Linked DNA regions of Macaca mulatta. The protein of the gene in region 2 binds, or shares a complex with, the protein of the main gene of each other region. Links are inferred from orthologs where the notes say so. Each region holds a gene or a part of one and is shown on either strand. Other genes may lie near its edges.

Evidence for each region. The genes of interacting proteins can lie anywhere in the genome.
Region 1: the proteins of NCAPH2 (region 2) and NCAPG2 are in contact, whole or in part, in a cryo-EM structure (PDB 9F5W), measured with the Homo sapiens proteins. The link is inferred for Macaca mulatta from reciprocal best matches to the Homo sapiens genes NCAPH2 and NCAPG2. Residues at the interface, in NP_689512.2 of Homo sapiens: Pro316, Trp317, Gln318, Ser319, Leu320, Pro322, Phe323, Asp324, Ser325, Leu326, Glu327, Ser328, Lys329, Pro330, Phe331, Lys332, Lys333, Gly334, Arg335, Pro336, Tyr337, Ser338, Val339, Glu344, Gln360, Asp361, Phe362, Gln364, Trp365, Tyr366; in NP_001268861.1 of Homo sapiens: Lys248, Leu251, Gln252, His292, Ile294, His295, Leu296, Pro297, Arg299, Ser300, Val302, Lys340, Ala341, Arg342, Asn343, Ser344, Glu345, Val346, Pro388, Tyr389, Pro390, Arg393, Gly425, Glu426, Ala428, Phe429, Asp430, Thr431, Ser432, Arg437.
Region 3: the proteins of NCAPH2 (region 2) and NCAPD3 are in contact, whole or in part, in a cryo-EM structure (PDB 9F5W), measured with the Homo sapiens proteins. The link is inferred for Macaca mulatta from reciprocal best matches to the Homo sapiens genes NCAPH2 and NCAPD3. Residues at the interface, in NP_689512.2 of Homo sapiens: Trp22, Ser68, Lys69, Glu72, Tyr75, Tyr79, Leu82, Asp83, Ser86, Ile144, Ile145, Pro146, Leu147, Leu148, Met150, Ala151, Leu152, Val153, Asp156, Glu159, Asn161, Asn162, Asn163, Pro164, Leu165, Tyr166, Ser167, Arg168, Gly170, Leu173; in NP_056076.1 of Homo sapiens: Arg589, Pro591, Met629, Glu680, Arg683, Tyr684, His690, Lys724, Glu793, Asp800, Gln803, Arg804, Arg807, Gln817, Leu820, Gln865, Leu866, Cys867, Pro868, Ala869, Arg870, Val871, Val918, Ile925, Lys929, Leu932, Gln933, His934, Ala956, Asn960.
Region 4: the proteins of NCAPH2 (region 2) and SMC2 are in contact, whole or in part, in a cryo-EM structure (PDB 9F5W), measured with the Homo sapiens proteins. The link is inferred for Macaca mulatta from reciprocal best matches to the Homo sapiens genes NCAPH2 and SMC2. Residues at the interface, in NP_689512.2 of Homo sapiens: Glu46, Phe53, Ile54, Glu55, Leu58, Leu59, Gly62, Ser63, Ala64, Cys65, Val66, Lys69, Tyr73; in NP_001036015.1 of Homo sapiens: Leu93, Thr125, Gln128, Asp129, Cys132, Gly135, Leu136, Asn137, Met173, Tyr174, Lys177, Lys178.

The regions. Positions count from the first base shown.
Region 1 is NC_133408.1:198,132,402-198,137,481, forward strand, and holds the start of NCAPG2 (condensin-2 complex subunit G2), read right to left. Parts: upstream 3,325-5,080; 5' UTR 3,305-3,324; intron 585-3,304; exon of another isoform or gene 485-584; intron 176-484; 5' UTR 137-175; coding exon 59-136; intron 1-58. UniProt on the Homo sapiens protein: Regulatory subunit of the condensin-2 complex, a complex which establishes mitotic chromosome architecture and is involved in physical rigidity of the chromatid axis.
Region 2 is NC_133415.1:935,971-940,170, forward strand, and holds part of NCAPH2 (condensin-2 complex subunit H2), read right to left. Parts: coding exon 4,198-4,200; intron 4,112-4,197; coding exon 3,969-4,111; intron 3,598-3,968; coding exon 3,514-3,597; intron 3,058-3,513; coding exon 2,927-3,057; intron 1,367-2,926; coding exon 1,295-1,366; intron 692-1,294; coding exon 625-691; intron 494-624; coding exon 386-493; intron 249-385; coding exon 195-248; intron 55-194; coding exon 1-54. UniProt on the Homo sapiens protein: Regulatory subunit of the condensin-2 complex, a complex that seems to provide chromosomes with an additional level of organization and rigidity and in establishing mitotic chromosome architecture.
Region 3 is NC_133419.1:134,384,520-134,388,125, forward strand, and holds the end of NCAPD3 (condensin-2 complex subunit D3), read right to left. Parts: intron 1,957-3,606; coding exon 1,882-1,956; intron 1,794-1,881; coding exon 1,733-1,793; intron 1,646-1,732; coding exon 1,537-1,645; 3' UTR 1,025-1,536; downstream 1-1,024.
Region 4 is NC_133420.1:54,311,038-54,316,044, forward strand, and holds the start of SMC2 (structural maintenance of chromosomes protein 2), read right to left. Parts: upstream 3,325-5,007; 5' UTR 2,887-3,324; exon of another isoform or gene 2,878-2,886; intron 2,080-2,877; 5' UTR 2,019-2,079; coding exon 1,851-2,018; intron 1,255-1,850; coding exon 1,105-1,254; intron 1-1,104. UniProt on the Homo sapiens protein: Central component of the condensin complex, a complex required for conversion of interphase chromatin into mitotic-like condense chromosomes.

The DNA of each region.
Region 1 (5,080 bases), on a different chromosome or scaffold from region 2:
AGAACATATTTCTTATTCACAGTCAAAAATCACAACAAAACTAAAACTTGAAACTTACATCAAGTTGAACAAATTGCAAAAACTCTCCAACCAGCTCCTTAGATACGGCTTGTACAAATGTCTCACGTTTTTCCATGACAGATGGAACTGTTCAAATGGCATTTATTTTGCAACCCTAGTGGAAAACACAATCATACTGAAACACTTGCAAATATATATTTTCCTATAAGATTTAATTTGATATTAACATCCAAGAACTGCAAGAAAATTCCTGAACCACATATGGCAGACAGTTTATAAAAATATTCTAACATAAAACAAGTTATAATATCTGAAAAACAATTTACTTATTTCCTTTACTGGGGATGTTAATAACATGATATTAATGATATTTTATCAACAACTGTTAATAAAATTACCAACTAAGGAGGGAGAAATCCAAATAGCCTTAGGAAGCTCACCACCATCTCTCCCTTTTTAGTACCTTAGCAAGATGCTGGCTCGGCAGATCGAGTTGGTTCAACAAAAGAACAATCTGATCCCAGCTGCAGATTCTGAAGATGCTCCCTTTCTAAAGGCCATTCCTCCATCAAAAAAAAAAATCCCACTGTTAGTGTCATCTTGTTATTCAATGTGAGATGGAGAACAGTGGCCCCGGGGAGGGGGGCGGGGGTCACCTGGGATCTTGTTAGACTATCCTTTAGAAATGCGTAACCACAGCACTCTCCTCCCACCCCTTCGGGATAATGAGAGCTCAGGGGACTTTGTACACCTTCTATCCTGTCTGTGTTTTTCCAGGAAATTCTATTTCACATTCACAACACCTGGTGCTATTGGTGCCCTACTAAAAAGACATCAACCTAAAGATGAGGTAATAGCAAATGATGGAACATATTTGCAGTAGGAGCCCCCTGACTTTAAAAATAAATGAAAACCACCTGCACCATTATAAATAGAGCAATATGGAAAATTACTGCCAATAATTATGGGGATAGAGAGTTATCTTAAACATATAATACTAGATTTTAATGTCTAAATCGAACAAAGCAGAAAATAACCTCAGTTTAATGACTCCCCAAATAAGTTAACAGTGAAGTCTGGTCATCTCATTCCTCAACTCAAATGGCTGAACTATGAACCACAGTCATGGACCACATAACATTTCAGTCAACAACAGACCACATATATGACCGTGGTCCCATAAGATTATAATGCCATATTTTTACTGTGCCTTTTCTATACTTAGATATGTTTAGCGATGCAAATACTTACCATTGTTACAGTTGCCTACAGTACAGTAACATTCTAGCAGCAGTAGGCTACACCCTCTAGGTGTAGGCAAGTTCACTCTGTGATGTTCATTCAATGATGAACTTGCCTAACGACAACGTTTCTCCCTCTTTAAATGAAGCATGACTCGCATACATTTTACTGACAAAGAAAATGGGGAGGGAAGGGAGAGTGGCCAGCAACAAGCATAACGAATAGTGGCTAGGACAAATTCATGATTTTAGAAAAATAATCCAATAAGGTGCAGCAAACACATGGAATCATACATCTTCACCTGGCAAGTCTGTGAACTCTCCACTTTTTCATAGTTCTGGTCACTTTTCTTGTTTGCTCTATTTCCAAGTGTACCTCTTTGGCATTGTAGTCCAACCTACAGTAATATACTTCCTCCAGACTACCAAACTTATTCCTGTATTTCCCATTTTCCCTCTTATATTAGTGACTGTAATTTTTTAATGGTTAATTTTTCAATCTATCTCCCAAAGTGGCAATATTCCATGTTTCTTGTAGTATATGTGCGTAAGATCTCAGCCCTGCAGCCAGAATGCTACTTTCAAGGTAAGGAGTCATCTCACCACCCAGTTATCAGTCCAAAGAGCAGGCTACTCTTCGCACAGAAGGTCCGGTACTGAATCAAGATGAGCATTAAAAAGAAGAAATCCCTGTAACCTTGTCACTACCCGTGACTTTCCACTCTGTCCCCAAACTCCTTCCTCATTGACACAACAAGAGGCACCAAACCAGCAACAAGAGTTCAGGAGACTGATGTCTCTGAGGACAATGCCCATGTCCATGGCTGGGGAGATACTCTCTGAGGGAAGTGCCTACATCCAGGGCTCAGGGAGACTCTCTCTAAGGGGACACTGTCTGAGGGCAGTGCCCATGCCCAGGACTGAGGGGGTCGCTGAGGGCACTGCCCATGCCCAGGACTGAGGGGGTGGCTCTCTGAGGGCAGTGCCCAGGCCCAGGACTGAGGGGATTTACTCTCTGAGGGCAGTGCCCAGGCCCAGGACTGAGGGGACACTGAGGGCAGTGTCCATGCCCAGGACGGAGGGGGTGGCTCTCTGAGGGCAGTGCCCAGGCCCAGGACTGAGGGGATTTACTCTCTGAGGGCAGCGCCCAGGCCCAGGAATGAAGGGACACTCTGAGGGCAGTGTCCACGCCCAGGACGGAGAGGCTCACTCTCTGAGGGCAGTGCCCATGCCCAGGACTGAGGGAGTCACTCTCTGAGGGCAGTGCCTAGGCCCAGGACTGAGGGGACACTCTCTTGAGGGCAGTGCCGATGCTCAGGGCTGGGGGGTCGCTCTCTGAGGGCAGTGCCCATGCTCAGGGCTGGCGGGTCACTCTCTGAGAGCGTGCCCGCGCCCGGGGCTGAGGGGACTCTCTCTGAGGGCAGTACCGACACCCAGGACTGAGGGGTCACTCTCTGAGAGCGTGCCCGCGCCCGGGGCTGAGGGGACTCTCTCTGAGGGCAGTACCGACACCCAGGACTGAGGGGACTCTCTCTGAGGGTAGTGTCCATGCCCAGGACGGAGGGGACACTCTCTGAGGGCAGTGCCCATGCTCAGGGCTGGGGGGTCGCTCTCTGAGGACAGTGCCCGCACCCGGGGCTGAGGGGACCCTCTCTGAGGGCAGTGCCCATGCCCAGGACGGAGGGGACACTCTCTGAGGGCAGTGCCCATGCTCAGGGCTGGGGGTTCGTTCTCTGAGGGCGTGCCCGCGCCTGGGGCTGAGGGGACTCTCTCTGAGGGCAGTGCCCGCGCCCGGGGCTGGGATTTTCCTCCGACACGGACAGGAAGGACGGGCGTCGCTGAGCTGGGAAGGGGGGATGGCCCGGGGTCGCCTCTTCCGTCCGGTCCCGTCAGACGCAGCACTGCCCGCGCGCTGGTCGGCAGCCCACTTAGGGAAGTGGAGGCCGAGACCCCGACCAGCCGAGGAGGGGCTTCCGCCCGATCCCTGCTACCTCCCAGCCTCTGCTCTGAACCCAATCCCGGCTCCGCACCGCAGCTCTCACCTGGGCTCGGGGACCCGCCGTTTCCCGCGCTCGGACCAGATTCAAACGCACCCGCCGGCGCCCCAGACGGGCCCCGCCCTCCCGGTCGTCACCCAGCGCCGCTCTCGCGAGAGCTGGGGCGCCGCGATCCTCGGGCCCCACCCACACGCCCGTTCCGCCCCGCCTCCAGATCATGCCCCGCCCACATGCCCGCCGGTCTTCCTCCTGTCTATGCCCCGCCTCCCAGTGCCCTACCGGGCACCACGGAACGCGCACGCGCGGCGCCACAGCTGGGGAACCCATGCACGGTGCGCGCGCCGACGTCCACTGCGAGCTTGTGCGCGTCCTGGGGCCTCCGCGGAGGGAGTGCGCGGTCCAGGAGAGGGCGGGGCGCTGGGAGCGGGCGGTGTTGGGGGAAGGAGGAAGGAGAGGAAGGGAGAGACGGGGAGAGGAAGGAAAGGTTTGGGGCGGGGAGAGGCCACAGGGCCGTGTCTGGATCCCCGGGAGGACCCCACCCCGGCCTGGCCGGCTACCGTGACCGCCCTCCCTGCCAAGGGGTCACCTGTCCGGCCTGCACCCAGTAGGTGCGCCCTGGGCAGGTGCTTCCCCCGCAGAACTCCCACCCCCCCACCCCCGGCAGGTAGGCTGCCCATAGGGTGGAGAGCGAGAGGCCTTAGCGGGGACCCTCGAAGGCACCCGTGTGAAGGAGGAGTAGCAATGTCATTTAATTCTTCGGACTTAAATGCCAAAGGCACATACTGATCTATCAATCTCTTTTAATTTGTGTCAGCGAATAACTTCATTGGGCGTTCCCAATTTTTGTTGAAAGCAAATTCTTAGAAAATGGTGCTCTTTACCACCGAGCTCTGCATCCCTTCGTGAGGATTTGGCCTTCCATGGTGCTATGTTCTTTCATGCTTGAGATGTCTAGAGTGGTATCTGTTTTCCTGGCTGAACTCAAACCAGAGGTCTCGGCGAGATTGAAGTCGTTGCACTGTGGGAGCACAGCACCACCCAGTAGGAACATCATGGGAGCCACAGTGCAATTGTAAATTTCTAGTGACCACATTAGAAAAAAATAAATAGGTGACATTGATTTTTAAATATGTTTTATTTAGGCTAGTGTATCAAAAATATTTATATTACTTGTTGGAATATCGTTTCAACAAGCAATATAAAATTATAGCAGGGAGAAGAGTGGTTTACTGGGAAGCTTGCAACAGTGAAGCAAGGCAGGCTGCAGAGGGGAGGGAGAAGACCCACTCAGAGCATGCCGAGTTTCGGACCCTTGTCAACAGGTGGCCGATATCTAACATCGCCTATTTCATCCTGGAGCTCCAGCCACCTCTGACCTCTTCCCTCCATACACAGACATCTCCTTCCCTGCAGTTTCTTGAATTTTGGTGCCCTCACCTTCTTCTCACTGCTTTCTTCTTAGCAATTTCCTTCATATCCAAGGTGCAAACTGCCACCTTTGAGCAGTGACCTCTGCATCTGGAATTGCAAGACACGGTTATTTCTGAACTCCAGAATTTTCAACAGCTCACTGCCTATTCCCATGCGGGTGCTGACATGCATCCAAAACGGAAATCAATTTCCTCTCCCAACCCTGAATCCTGCCCCTTTCCTTATGCTGGTCCCTCCTCCAATCAGCCATTTGTTCCTGGTGGTTCTGCTTCCTGAATAGGAATAACGTAATAAGTTACACATGTGAGCTCTGAAGCTGTACCACCTGGGCTAACCTGGTTCTGTGCTCACTAGCTGGTGACCTTCGACAGGCCATGGACGACTAAGCCT
Region 2 (4,200 bases):
TCCGGAGAGTTTCCAACTGCTCCTTCACGTGTGTCCAGTACAGGACCTCCATGTCTGCAGACAAAGACCTTGTGAAGACTCCCTTGTCCTTCCCAGGCCCTGTGCCAGTCCACCCGAGGCTCTGGTGACACCAGGTGGGGGCAGACGTAGGGGAAGGGGAGTAAAACTGTCTTCCCTGAGGACTTCAGCCTCACCTGCAAAGGACGGACCCTTTCGCCGAGGCCTCCGGCTGTCAGCATGGTCAGCATCTGAGAGAGAACATGGTCAGCACCAACCAGGCCAAGAGCTGCCCACGGCAGTGGGGAAAGGGTGTTGATCCTCCTCCACGGGCCCTGGCCCAGCCCCCAGCTCCCAGGGGTCCGGAGTGCATGGCACACCCACTCACAGGCAGCCAGGTACCACTGGTGGAAGTCCTGCAGCTTGGCAGCACTCTTCCTCTTGCGCTTCTGTCCCGGAGCCTCCTCCACACAGGGGGGCACAGAGTAAGGCCTACCTAGAGGCAAACAGGGACTGTCTTAGAGCTGCTGGGCAATCAGGGTGCAAAGCCCTCTCCCACCCCCCTACCTCATGCCCCAGGAGACCCAGCCAGGAGTACCTGAGTGGAGGTATCTTCCACCCAATTACCTTTCTTGAAGGGCTTAGACTCCAGGGAGTCAAAGGGGTCCAGGCTCTGCCAGGGCTCTGGAGTCTCCTGGGCACAGAGCACAAGAAGGCGCTGGAGGAGTAGGGGGTGCACAGCCGCCCTCCCAAAGGAGAAGTAGGGGGTGCACAGCCGCCCTCCCAAAGGAGGAGTAGGGGGTGCACAGCCGCCCTCCCAAAGGAGGAGTAGGGGGTGCACAGCCGCCCTCCCAAAGGAGGAGTAGGGGGTGCACAGCCGCCCTCCCAAAGGAGGAGTAGGGGGTGCACAGCCGCCCTCCCAAAGGAGGAGTAGGGGGTGCACAGCCGCCCTCCCAAAGGAGGAGTAGGGGGTGCACAGCCGCCCTCCCAAAGGAGTAGGGGGTGCACAGCCGCCCTCCCAAAGGAGGAGTAGGGGGTGCACAGCCGCCCTCCCAAAGCCCAGGCAACAAGTGCGGTGAGAGCCTGGGACAGAGCCGACCACACTCAAATCCTGGATCACAGAGGGGAACAATCGAGGGACGGTGGGGGCCCAGAGTCGCATGAGGGGGTCTCTAAGAGAGCAAGTGCAAAGGGCCACAGGCTGAGAACACCGCAGGAGCGAGAGCATGATGGGCAGGCAGCCAGTCCTCGAATCCGCCCGTCCTCCCTGCCAGGGTCAGGGCCCCAACGCTCCTACCTTCATGCAGGATGCAGGCTCTGGGGCCCCCTCTCGCTCCCGCAGCATGTACCTCCTGGGCAGGGCAGCACTCTGCAAAGACAGTCACAGGGTCTCCACTTCTCCCCTTTCTCCACTCAAGGCTCTGGGTACCCCAGGAACTCCACCTTGGGTCAACATCAAGAACTCTACAAGGGCCGGGCACGGTGGCTCATGCCTGTAATCGAAGCGCTTTGGGAGGCCAAGGTGGGCAGATCACCTGAGGTCAAGAGTTTGAGACCAGCCTGGTCAACACGGTGAAACCCCGCCTCTACTAAAAATACAAAAAAAATTAGCCGGGCGTGGTGGCACACACCTGTAATCCCACCTACTCAGGAGGCTGAGGCAGGAGAATCGCTTGAACCCAGGAGGCAGAGGTTGCAGCGAGCCAAGATCACGCCACTGCACTCCAGCCTGGGCAAAAGAACAAGACTCTGTCTAAAAAAAAAGAAAAATCCTACAGGGGCCAGACACAGTGGCTCACGCCCATAATCCCAGTGCTTTGGGAGGCCAAGGCAGGCAGATCGTTTGAGCAAGGAGTTCCAGACCAGCCTGGGCAACGTAGTGAGACCCCGTCTCTACAAAAAATACGAAAATTAGCCAGGTGTGGTGGCACGCATCTATAGTCCCAGCTACTCGGGAGGCTGAGGTGGAAGGATCACCTGAGCCTAGAGAGGGTCAAGGCTGTAGTGAGCCAAGATCAGGCCACTGCACTCTACCCTGGGCAACAGAGCAAGACCCTGTCTCAAAAACAAACAAACAAACAAAAAAACCCTGCTAGTACTCTCTGGGGGCATTAAAACAAAAACCCGAAGAAAAACTTTAAAACACAAACAGTGGGCCGGACGCCGTGGCTCATGCCTGTAATCCCAGCACTTTGGGAGGCCAAGGCGGGTGGATGTCGGGCATGGTGGCAGGCGACTGTAGACCCAGCTACTCGGGAGGCAGGAATGGCGTGAACCCAGGAGGCGGAGCTTGTAGTGAGCCAAGATCGCACCACAGAACTCCAGCCTGGGCGACAGAGCGAGACTCTGTCTCGCAAAAAACAAAACAAAACAAAACAAAAAAAACAGTGGTCACGGGGTACTCTTCTTCAAAACTAAGAAAAACGAATAGAATATGACAAATATCCATGTCATCGACCAACCAGAGTGAAGAAACATTAACATTTCCTCTGTATGCATCGGGTTGATTTTCTGCTTTAATAAATAAAAAGGATTTCTTGGCTCTAGACTGCGTACAGTTGACCCTGGGGGTTGAGGGAGGCAGCAATGGCCTCCAGACACCCCCTCCTACCAGCCCAACTGCAAAAGAGGCGCCTCGGCGACCAGCAGCCATCCCAGGTAGCTGTGAGCTCGGCAGGGCCCAAACCCTTGGACGCCAGCCCACTACTCTGAAGATCATCAGTTCTGTCCAGAGAGGGGAGGAACACGGAAGCTGCCGTTCCAAAGGGCTGGCTGCAGGACGGGCTGCAGGACGGTGGGCTTCTGCCCCAGACCAATGGCCCGGGGCCAAGGCCATAGCGCTGCCCTCCTCGTGCAGGCTGACTCAACCCCAGAGCCAGGGTTGCCCCGTTCACAGCTCAGGCTCTGCAGGCCTCCATGTGGGTCCCACCTGCTGCGGGCTCCTGGGCTCCTCGGGCTCCAGAGTGGCCTTGGGGGCCGAGGCCTCAGGAAGGTCTACTGCCTCCTCTGCATCCTCGTCCTCACCCCCGCCCAGGGGCGCCGGGCCTTCTGGAGAGGGGCCTGGACAGGGAGCAAGAGAGTGATCAGCTCCAAGGAATGTCGAGACCAGACGGCACCAGAGGGACCCTGACGGCTACTTCCTCCCTCAGCTTTAGTCACGGAACCCAGAGGATTCAGCAGGTGCCTTGCACCCTCCTCGTCATGCTAGCGTGCTGTGCTCTGTTTGGTTCATTTTATTTCTTGGCAAATGTTCCTCTTTAAATGCAGCCATCCACATCTGCCCAGAGAGGACACCCAGGAAGGCAGAGGGCAGTCAGTGAACCAAGACGGGCTGAGGCTTAGGTAAGGCCAGGGGCTGTGGCTGCTTCCCCGGGGTGAGGCCTCATTCCCGTGGGCCATGGAAAGGGTGTGAGGCTGGCAGCTGACGGCAGCGCCTTGGACCCCTGTCCACTGAGAGCTGCCTCTCTGGTCCCCTTTGGCTGCCATGCCAGTCCCACCAGGGAGCTTTCTTCTCACCTGGGTCCTGGGAGAAGCCAAGTGCTGGGACAGGGCTCCTGCACACGGAAACTTCCATTGGCTGCTCCTCAGTTCTCCCGGCATCTGGGAGACAGGGATTGGACAAGGTCAGCCCAGCCCCTCTCCAAGATGGTCCCTGCCTGGTGTTCAACTAGCCCCTCCAAGGGGCCAGCAGAAGGGCAGAGTCCAGCAGACTCCAGGCCTTGGGCTGGGGGAACACAGCAGGGCCCTGAGCCAGGCACCAGGTCCCTGGCACTGAGACCATGTTAACTTGTAATCAAGGCACAGCAGACGGGTGGGATGAGCACCAGCCAACCTGTCTAGACTGGAGCGGGCACCCAGAGAGAGGGAGCTCCCAAGACCAGAGGTGGCAAGCACAGGGCACCCCACAAGAGTCCACCCAGAAGACCCTCCCTCCCTTCCTTCCCACCAAGCCCCCGCATCCAAGCCCTCACCCTTCTGGGTCCTTGGCATGGAAGCGCCTGCTGGCTCCACGGGGGACATGCCCTCTGGCTCCAACATGAAAGCCCCTCTGGGGTGGGGAACGCACGTGTTCATCCTGAAATCCTTCCGGCTGGCCAGGACCTCACCCTGACGGCTGTGCCGGCGAGAACACGCCTGCTGTAGAGACCCTTCCCAGGCAGGCCTCCCTCCTCCCTCGCCGCCGCCGGGCTCAGACCCTACCTG
Region 3 (3,606 bases), on a different chromosome or scaffold from region 2:
CTCCAGCCTCTTTCTTGGTTGTCATAGTGATAGGGTAGCCTTACTGCCTCCTCTTCTTACACCCTAAAACCTTCCACACTAGTGCCATGGGAACCAGGTCGGACAAAGTAGAGAGAAGTGAAAGTGGAGTCTGGGAAGTAGTTGCCTATAACAGACTAGACAGAAAAGGAACACTTGTGTATTTTAAGATACGAATGTGACTCAAGACTCGAGGCTGATACGAGGCTGTGATTCTGCCTTTGGATGGATGTTGCTGTACATAGATATTACAGACTTGTACTAACACACCTGTAATTTGGTATTTGTTTAACCTCATTTATAAAAGCTTCAAAAAAAACCCAAACATTGCTTCATTCTTTCTTGTTTGCTCTTGTGTTTGTCTCTTCTTCCTGGCATTTCAGTGGTTAGGCGCGCGCACTAAAAATGCTGTCACCCATCCACCAGGGGAGTCGGTCGGTGCCTGGGCAGAATGTCAGCCTGTGTGCTCCAGAGCAGTGCTGCGCCTCTCCACCACCGAGTCCACCTGCGTTGCAGTCCCCACTTAGGATAGCAGGGGCAGAGCTCAGTGGCATCCCATCCATCCCCCAAACCAACCAACGCACATAATCACTTTGTACTTTTGCTTTTGTAATACTGGGATTAAAAAACAAGCCAACTGCATTTCTTTTTGGATATTCTTGAACAAAAATATCGTTAAGTTTACCCAACAGAGTGAACAGAAGAGACTCAAGCCGTTCCCCCATCACGGGAGCAGCCCTTAGCAGAGGGCTGCACAAATCGGCATCAGTGCTGCTCTGGGGAAGGCCGCAAAGCTATTTTTTCACAAGCAGCGATGCTGTTTATGTCTGTTATAGAAAGCACATGGCCTCTGCATGGGCACAGATCAACTGCCCCTCAAGACAATCATTTTTTTTCTAATAGGAAAGATTTGGTTTCATTCCTCTAACATGCTTTACGTAAAATTAAAATGATTACCAGTAAGAGCTCTGTTCTAAAAACAGAAACATTCTATTTACTGGAAGGCTGTATTTATCCTAAACATTTATTACTTTTAGAAAGCTGTATATTTTAAAAATTTGCAATTATAAATAATAGAAAAAATATTACAATCAATATTTTGTCATTACAGATGGGAAAATATGTACTATAAGGAATTCAAACATGTTAACACAGGCTTGATTTATATAAAAGAAAGCTGAAGTTTTTAAAGACCAGATTATAGCTTATCTGCATGGGCTTGACACTTTCAAATGGAATAAAGTTATAATATTAAATAGATTAGGCTTAGGGTAAGAAAATCTAAATTTGGCACATCTCTATTTTACAGTGTTTAACCATATATATCATACAGCATAGAAAGGGCTGGCCGGCTAAATGCAGGTGAGTGCCAGGCCCCTGAGGAGGAGCTCTCGTGTTCCACAGCAAAGCGCTGCCCAAGGACTGCGGGAAGTGATCCAGCTGCCTGTCCACACGGAGGACACGAGACGGCTTCCTCAGGGGCTCTTGCCTGCCCGGACACTGGTGGGGATGCGCTCTTTAGTTGGCTGTTTTCAGAGGGGTCTTTCGCAGGGACCTCCTGCTGCAGGCTGGAGTGTCTTTATTCCTGGCTGGAGACCTCACATTCCACTGCTGAGGCTGTGGGGGCCTAGGGAAAGGACATACGCAGTCATTCTGGAACTCAGAAAAACCCTGAAAAAAACATCCACCTCAAAAGGAACACTGCTAAACTTACGGTTTATCAGGCAATGATAAACATAAGATGTCATTTCCTTGACTCCTGGCTTCAATTTTCTCTAAAAGGGATTTAAACAAACAAATTCAGTTTTGCCAGAACCTCAGAGGCAGCGCATATATCAGCCCAGAAGGAAACCAAGAACTTGCCTTTGGCTGATGAAGGAGTCCGTGGTGTCCCGATGTAACTGACCCCGGCTCCAAACGTGACATCATTGATGCTCTCTGCATAAAGGGGAGACACCACTGTGAGTGAAGGCAGAGGGGGCGGCTCCAGTTGTGTGTGTGACGTAGGCACGGTGTCCACATCGGTGTCCCAGTGGCGGCCCTCAGACCTCCACTGGACCCTGTCCCAGGTCCTGGCAGGGATGAGGGCCCCTCCTGGGGACGCTCCTTTCCGTCTCTCTGACCGCAGCCCTCCTTAGGCACTCGGCTGGCCCCTGGGCCTCACTGTTCACGCCTCTGGCTTCCCTCCCACCCCATCTTCCATGATCACCCCTGTCCCAGTGACCGCGCTGTCCCACTCACTACACTTCCTACGGTGGCTCACCCAGATTCCCCGAGGACAATTAACTCCTTGCCTCTGCACCTCCACGCGTGCCTGTTAGTTTCCACCAGTGAATGGACCGTGCAAGCTGGAAATGTGGCACCGTGAGCGGCTCCTCCATATGGAATCAGCAGCCAAGGCCTGTCCCTTCTACCTCCAGTCGCCACTTCATCCTGTCCCGTCGTGCCGCACTGGGAGCGGCTCAGTCCGCCTCACCCCTCGCCCTTGATTTTTCATGGCACCTACCCCCCTCCAGTTTGCCCTCAGGAACAGGTGAACACCGTTTACGAGCAGACTCCACCGCAACTTGGGTGTGAATTCTGGCTCGGTGTCTTACCAGCTGTGTGAGCTGCTCTGAGACCCTCAGGTTTCTGCATCTCTTACGTGGGTATAAAAACAGCTACCTCACTGGCGGGCTGCCAGGACGACATGAGGTTACCTTCACCGAGTGCTTAGCATGGTGCCCAGGACGACAGGAGGTTGTCTACACCGAGTGCTTAGCATGGTGCCCAGGACTACATGAGGTTATCTACACCGAGTGCTTAGCATGGCGCTGGCTGCAAGGGCGTGCTCAAGAGATGTTAGCGGCCACTGTCATTTATCAGCAGTATCCTCCCTGCGTCACTGGAGTTATGTTTAATCAAGAAGCTGGTAAATTTACTGCCCTGCTTTAAGACACCTCGATGGCTGTGTTCCTAGGAGAGCCTGAAGTGCACCCTCAGTCTCAGCTGGTCCCAAGCTGCCTTTACAGACTTAGCTGTTATGCTGAGGTGCATGTGCCCACACACGTCCACCCTCCTGCATCCCTTCCTCAGCAGGCCCTGTCTGCACATCATGCTCCTCTGCCCCTCCGCCCCATCTGTCTACACACGCCACCCGGTCTTGGGGGCCCGGGTAGTGCTGTACTCGGTGCATAAGCTGCCAGCAGCACACTCCCAGGAACAGCACGGGCTGGGCGGCCGCTTGCTGATGCCACTGAACCTGCTGCCTTTCTGCAAGACTCGCGAGGAGGCAGCTTCAGCGCTCTCCCCGTTCTCCACACGGTGTCTTCAGTACAGACCGTCTTCCCATTTACATTTTAAAGCTCATCAGCGCACTGCAGTGTACCTGATGGCTACTTGAGTGTCATTGACAGACAATGGCAGAGAATTCTATCCTCATCACTGCTAGATCTGCTTATTCTGTTTCTGTCTCTCCTTGTACCCTCACATGAAATTCCCTTCCTCACAAATTCCCTTCCTCACAAATTCCCTTCCTCACACACACGCTGCTCTTCCTGTTTGGAAGCCCATGTGTGCTCCAGGAAATTAGTCTCCCATCTTTACAGA
Region 4 (5,007 bases), on a different chromosome or scaffold from region 2:
CAGTAAACGGGAGTTGACTACATTTTTAAAAACAAAACCTTGGGCTGGGCACGGTGGCTCACGAGGCCGAGGCGGGCAGATTACAAGGTCAGGAGACTGAGACCACCCTAGCCAACACAGTGAAATCCCATCTCTACTAAAAATACAAAAAAAAATTAGCCAGGTGTGGTGGTAGGTGCCTGTAGTATCAGCTACTCAGGAGGCTGAGGCAGAAGACTCTCTTGAACCTGGGAGACGAATATTGCAGTGAGCTGAGATGGTGCCACTACACTCCAGCCTGGGTAACAGAGCAAGACTCCGTCTTCAAAAAAAAACAAAAAACAAAAAACAAAACAAAACAAAAAACATTGACAAGCTGAAAACACTGCCTGACTATATTAATAACACACATAAAAAAAAAGCTCTACTGAGAAAAATAGAAGTAGAATGTCTAAAATGAAACAATAACTCTAACTAGACCGATTTCAGTACACTCAATCTAAGGTGTCATTAAAAGATAGATAGATGAATGCAGGGGCAGGGAGGGAAACTGGAGCATACCTGGTATAATCAGGCAAGTGAAGGAACTAGGAACAAACATCAATGAAAGACCTGGTAAGATTTCACTTAGAACTAAAACACATATGCTTGCAGATCACTTGAACACTGAAGTAGGGAATAAGTCAGATTTGCTCTTAGTGCTCTCAAGAGCACTAGGATTAATGAATAAAATTTGAAGACAGCAGACTCTGACAAAATTTATAGGGGTAACTTTCTAGTAAGACCTGTCCAAAAACAGAATGGGTTACCTCAGACGACTGCAAGATCTCAAGTACACAGGTGTTCAAGAACAGCCAGAGAAGATTCAAGTATGGTTTAAGATTTCAGCATAGCTGAGTGCTTATACGGGATGAATAACTTTTCAGTTCTCTTTCAGTTCTCTTAGTGATAGAGTGTACATGATCAAAATTTTAATGTAAGGAAGATATTAAGGAATCTAGTCAGAATTTAAGGCACAAATTTTGCTCATCAACTTTCTCTAGCACGTTTTGCAAAGGCATAGGGCCAAAAACCACATCAGACATAAAAGGTCTTAAGATATCGAAATGTTTAATAGCCACTCACCTGCCTTGTTACTGTGATTTCATCATGAACCTCAAATCCTAAAGGACTTTGCTTTTTGTCAGAATTATCAAATGTGATTGACACAGAGGCTTTGGTAATACCAGCCTGCCCATTTTTGTAAACTAAATCTTGTAAATTAGAAGCTCGAACCTAAAATAAAAGAAGAAAAGTGTATCAATTACAAAACTCCCTACAAAGCAGCACTAAAAATGAATTCCTTGCTGTTGGAAAACCCACCAACATAGTGTCCACTAAGCAGACAAGGATAGGCAGCTGCATACTCTGGCAAGGAAAATAGGTAACAACCTGAAATGGACACTTTTCTCTATAGAACCTTTTCAACTCTGAATTGAATTGTTTCCTATTCATTTTTTAACAAAAAGTTACTTGGCAAGATATAAGGAAAGACAGTCCCAATGATTTTCACTAGTCATTCAATCTATTAGCAGGATTTGAAAAGGCATCATTACACAGGGTTGAAAATACTCTGGAATGAGACTACTTTACAGTCAGAAAGCCTGAGTTTTGAGGCATTGTTACTTATAAACATCTCCAACATAAACATCTCTATGTTTCTATTTTCTCATCTAAAGGAGTAATAATAGTTTCCTTAAAAGGTGACAGTGAGGTGTAATTTACAAAAAGTATAAAAACACAAATGAAGAGAATATTGTTAAGTCTCCAAAGTTCAGGGAGGATTCTCCTGCCCACTTAAATTCAAATAAATCAGAAAGTTTACACTTTACCTGAGACAGGTTGGAGATGCCCAGCAAAAAGCAGATGGAGTCCAATATGTTTGATTTTCCACTACCATTTAAGCCAGTGATAGCATTGAAGAGGGGGTCAAAACCATTGACTTCGGTTCTCTGAGCATAGGACTTGAATCCCTCTAGAATAATTGACTTAATATGCATTTTCGATACTGTCTTGGGTCAGCAAACCTCTGACAGGAATCAAACAGGCCACAAACCAGTTCTGTACGAAACAGAAATACCACCACCTAAGTGGAATGTAAACCTGGAATCATAATGAACACTAGGCAAAAACGGTAATGATAGGGTAATAGAAATAAAACAGCCACTTGACAAACTATCTTGTCTGATGTAAAGACATCGTTCATCTACTCAAAAATATAACAGAGTTAGCCACTATCTGGAAATTAAACCATTCAACTGGGAAGTCTTAACTATTTCTTACACCTGTTTTTCCAGGCTTGCCTTCTACTTTCATCATACTCTAGCTAATAAAGACTACGGATTATTTCATACCCCATTATCTTTGCCCACAATGTGCTTTTTTCTGATACTGACGTAGCTTACTCTCTACTGCACTCACGTCTTTGCTCAAATGTGTCACCCTACTGGAGTCCTCCCTGACCTCCCTGTGTCACCTCTCCACACTTCTTCACTCGGCTTTTTCCTTCATGGTACTTAAAACTGGTATTAGACGGTCATTACTTGTCTGTAAGTTCCTGTAGTATCTTCACCTACGTTCATCATTGCATCCCCGAATTGTGCTTGACTCCGGGAGGAGGGGAAGTCATCTAAGTATTTACTAGGGATGAGATGTATCTCATACTCTCCACCGTCTTGCTTTTACTCAGGCTGTTACTTCGCTTCTTGAGGCCTGTCTACACCTCTTCGCCCTACTCCAAGGCCGAATAGGAACTAGCCTTTATTTCTAAGGATCACCTAAGGTCCTCCTCCCCATAGCCCCCGCGTCCCGCCTCCCGCCAGGATGTCTAGCCGGGCTCAACCGGCCGTGCTCACGCACACGCCTCACCGCTGCCTCAGGCCAGGGCTTGACGCACCCCAAAAGCTCCTCCGGGTCACAAAGGCGGGGAGCAGGCCAACTCTCTAGCCGCGGCTGCTACGAAGAGAACTTCACCATAGCGGATACAACACCTGCCGCACCGCTCTCAACACCCGCGCCGGAACTATTTATTCCTTTGAATTTCGGCGCGAGCAAAGGACCCCACCTCCATTGCTTATTTCCTGTGCTGGTGCCTAGGAGCTGCCTGTCTTTAGGATTCCATTTTTCCCCTACACGCGAAGGATTAACGCTTCAGGGCAATAGGACGCAGAGTCTCGATAATGGCAGCTCCGGGGACTCCCAGGCGCGGGCCTGGGCACTACAAGAGCAGGTAGTATATGTTCACACCGGCGTCCGGCACGCTATGGTCAGCCCCACACCTCGTCCCCAGGTCCTCGCGCTTCGTCAGCCCCGCCCCTCCTCGGGTCCTCTAGTCAGCGTTCGGCGCCCTGCAGACTCCGCCTTCTCGAGTTCTGGGCGGTGCTCACCGCGGCTTACTACTCTTCACGCAAAGCGACAGAATCAGGAGGTGTAGAGGCATTCTTTGAGTGTTCTTGTCGGTTCTGTTTTGGAAGCCTCAGAATCTTCTTGGGTTGGCTCAGATTGCTGCAAAGTAAAAGCTGTATTTCGGTGGGGCCGGAGAGGCACAGTCCTTCGGAGGACTCTGGCCCGCGTCCTGGCTCGGTCCCGTGCTGCCTTCGGACTTCGCCGAGCCTTTTTATCTGAAATTTTCACGTCGGGAAGGGATCGTAGTCTACTGAGAGCTGTTCTGAGCCCAGAGGAGTTGTGTGGTGCTAAATAGCTGTTCACCTCCCTTACACTGGAAAGCGTTGTAATGATAAGCCTACCTAACCTGTCAGGGAATTTTTCTGGAAACCTTTTAAGACAGTTCATATTTATTGAGTTCTGAGTGTTAGGCTATGTTCCAAGGGGCTTTTTAAAATCCTCGTAGCAACCCTGTGAAATCAGAAATTGCCCTCGTTTTACAAATGAGTTGAATGAGTCCAAGTAAAAGGTTAAGCAGTTTGTCTAGTAAGCTGGGATTTGTTTCCAGTCTAGTTCCAGATTGCATGCTTTTAAATACATACTAGGCTCCCTGCATAGAATCTAGTACTATTCACCGATCCTGTTAATTGGTATGTATTGTTCTTTAGAAAGAAAAAAGGTGTCAGCATTACTTACGTTTCCAAGCACGTTGATACTAAAGAGTTAGGAAGGATTTAACTCCGAATGGGTATGGTGTTTTTCTAGGTGAGGTACAAAAACATGGTGTGGACAATGCCATTTTGGGATGGCTTGATCCTTTTGGGCTTCCATAACAAAATACCATAGACTGGGTAGCTTATGAACCACAGAGGTTTATTCTTCACATTTCTGAAGGCTGGAATGTCACAGAACAAGGTGTGTCTAGGAAGGAGTGCTTTCTGTTCAGTGGATAGCACCTTCTGACCCTGTCCTCACATGGTGGAGAGGCAGAGGCCCTCCCTTGGGCCTATCTTATAAGGGCCTTTCCTTTCTTCCCATTCCTCACTTCCCAAGAGGCCACTTGCCAAAACCATCAGTTTGGGGGTTAGAATTTCAAAATGTGAAGTTTGAGGGACATATTTAGACCATAGCATAGGGCGTGTTTTTAAAGTTGCTTTCTTGGCCCTGGAATGGCAATGCAGTCGTCTGAACTGGTCTTAATCTACCAGGAATGGGCCTAAATTTTGAAAATATTTCTCGTTAAGGGAGTAAAATAAGTTTTATGGGTTTTTTGTTTAAGAAAGGATTCATTTATTTACTCTGATATGCTTACCCACTTCTGTGATGTCAACCATGGGTAGTGACCTAACATTAATTTACTTCAGCAGATATCTTTGTCTGCCTTGAATCCTGCATCCCCTAGGCTCCACAGCTATTCAATTGTATTGATTCTGTTAACTCTTACACATTTACTTTCACCTGTGTCTCCTTCCTTTTATCATTTTGTGAGTAAATAATTTTTAATTTGCCAACAAATCCTAATGTGGACGTAGTCAAGTTGTGAAATAAAGTGATTCTTGGTATGGAAATATGTGTGAAGACAGACTGTTAGTCTTTGCACTTTAA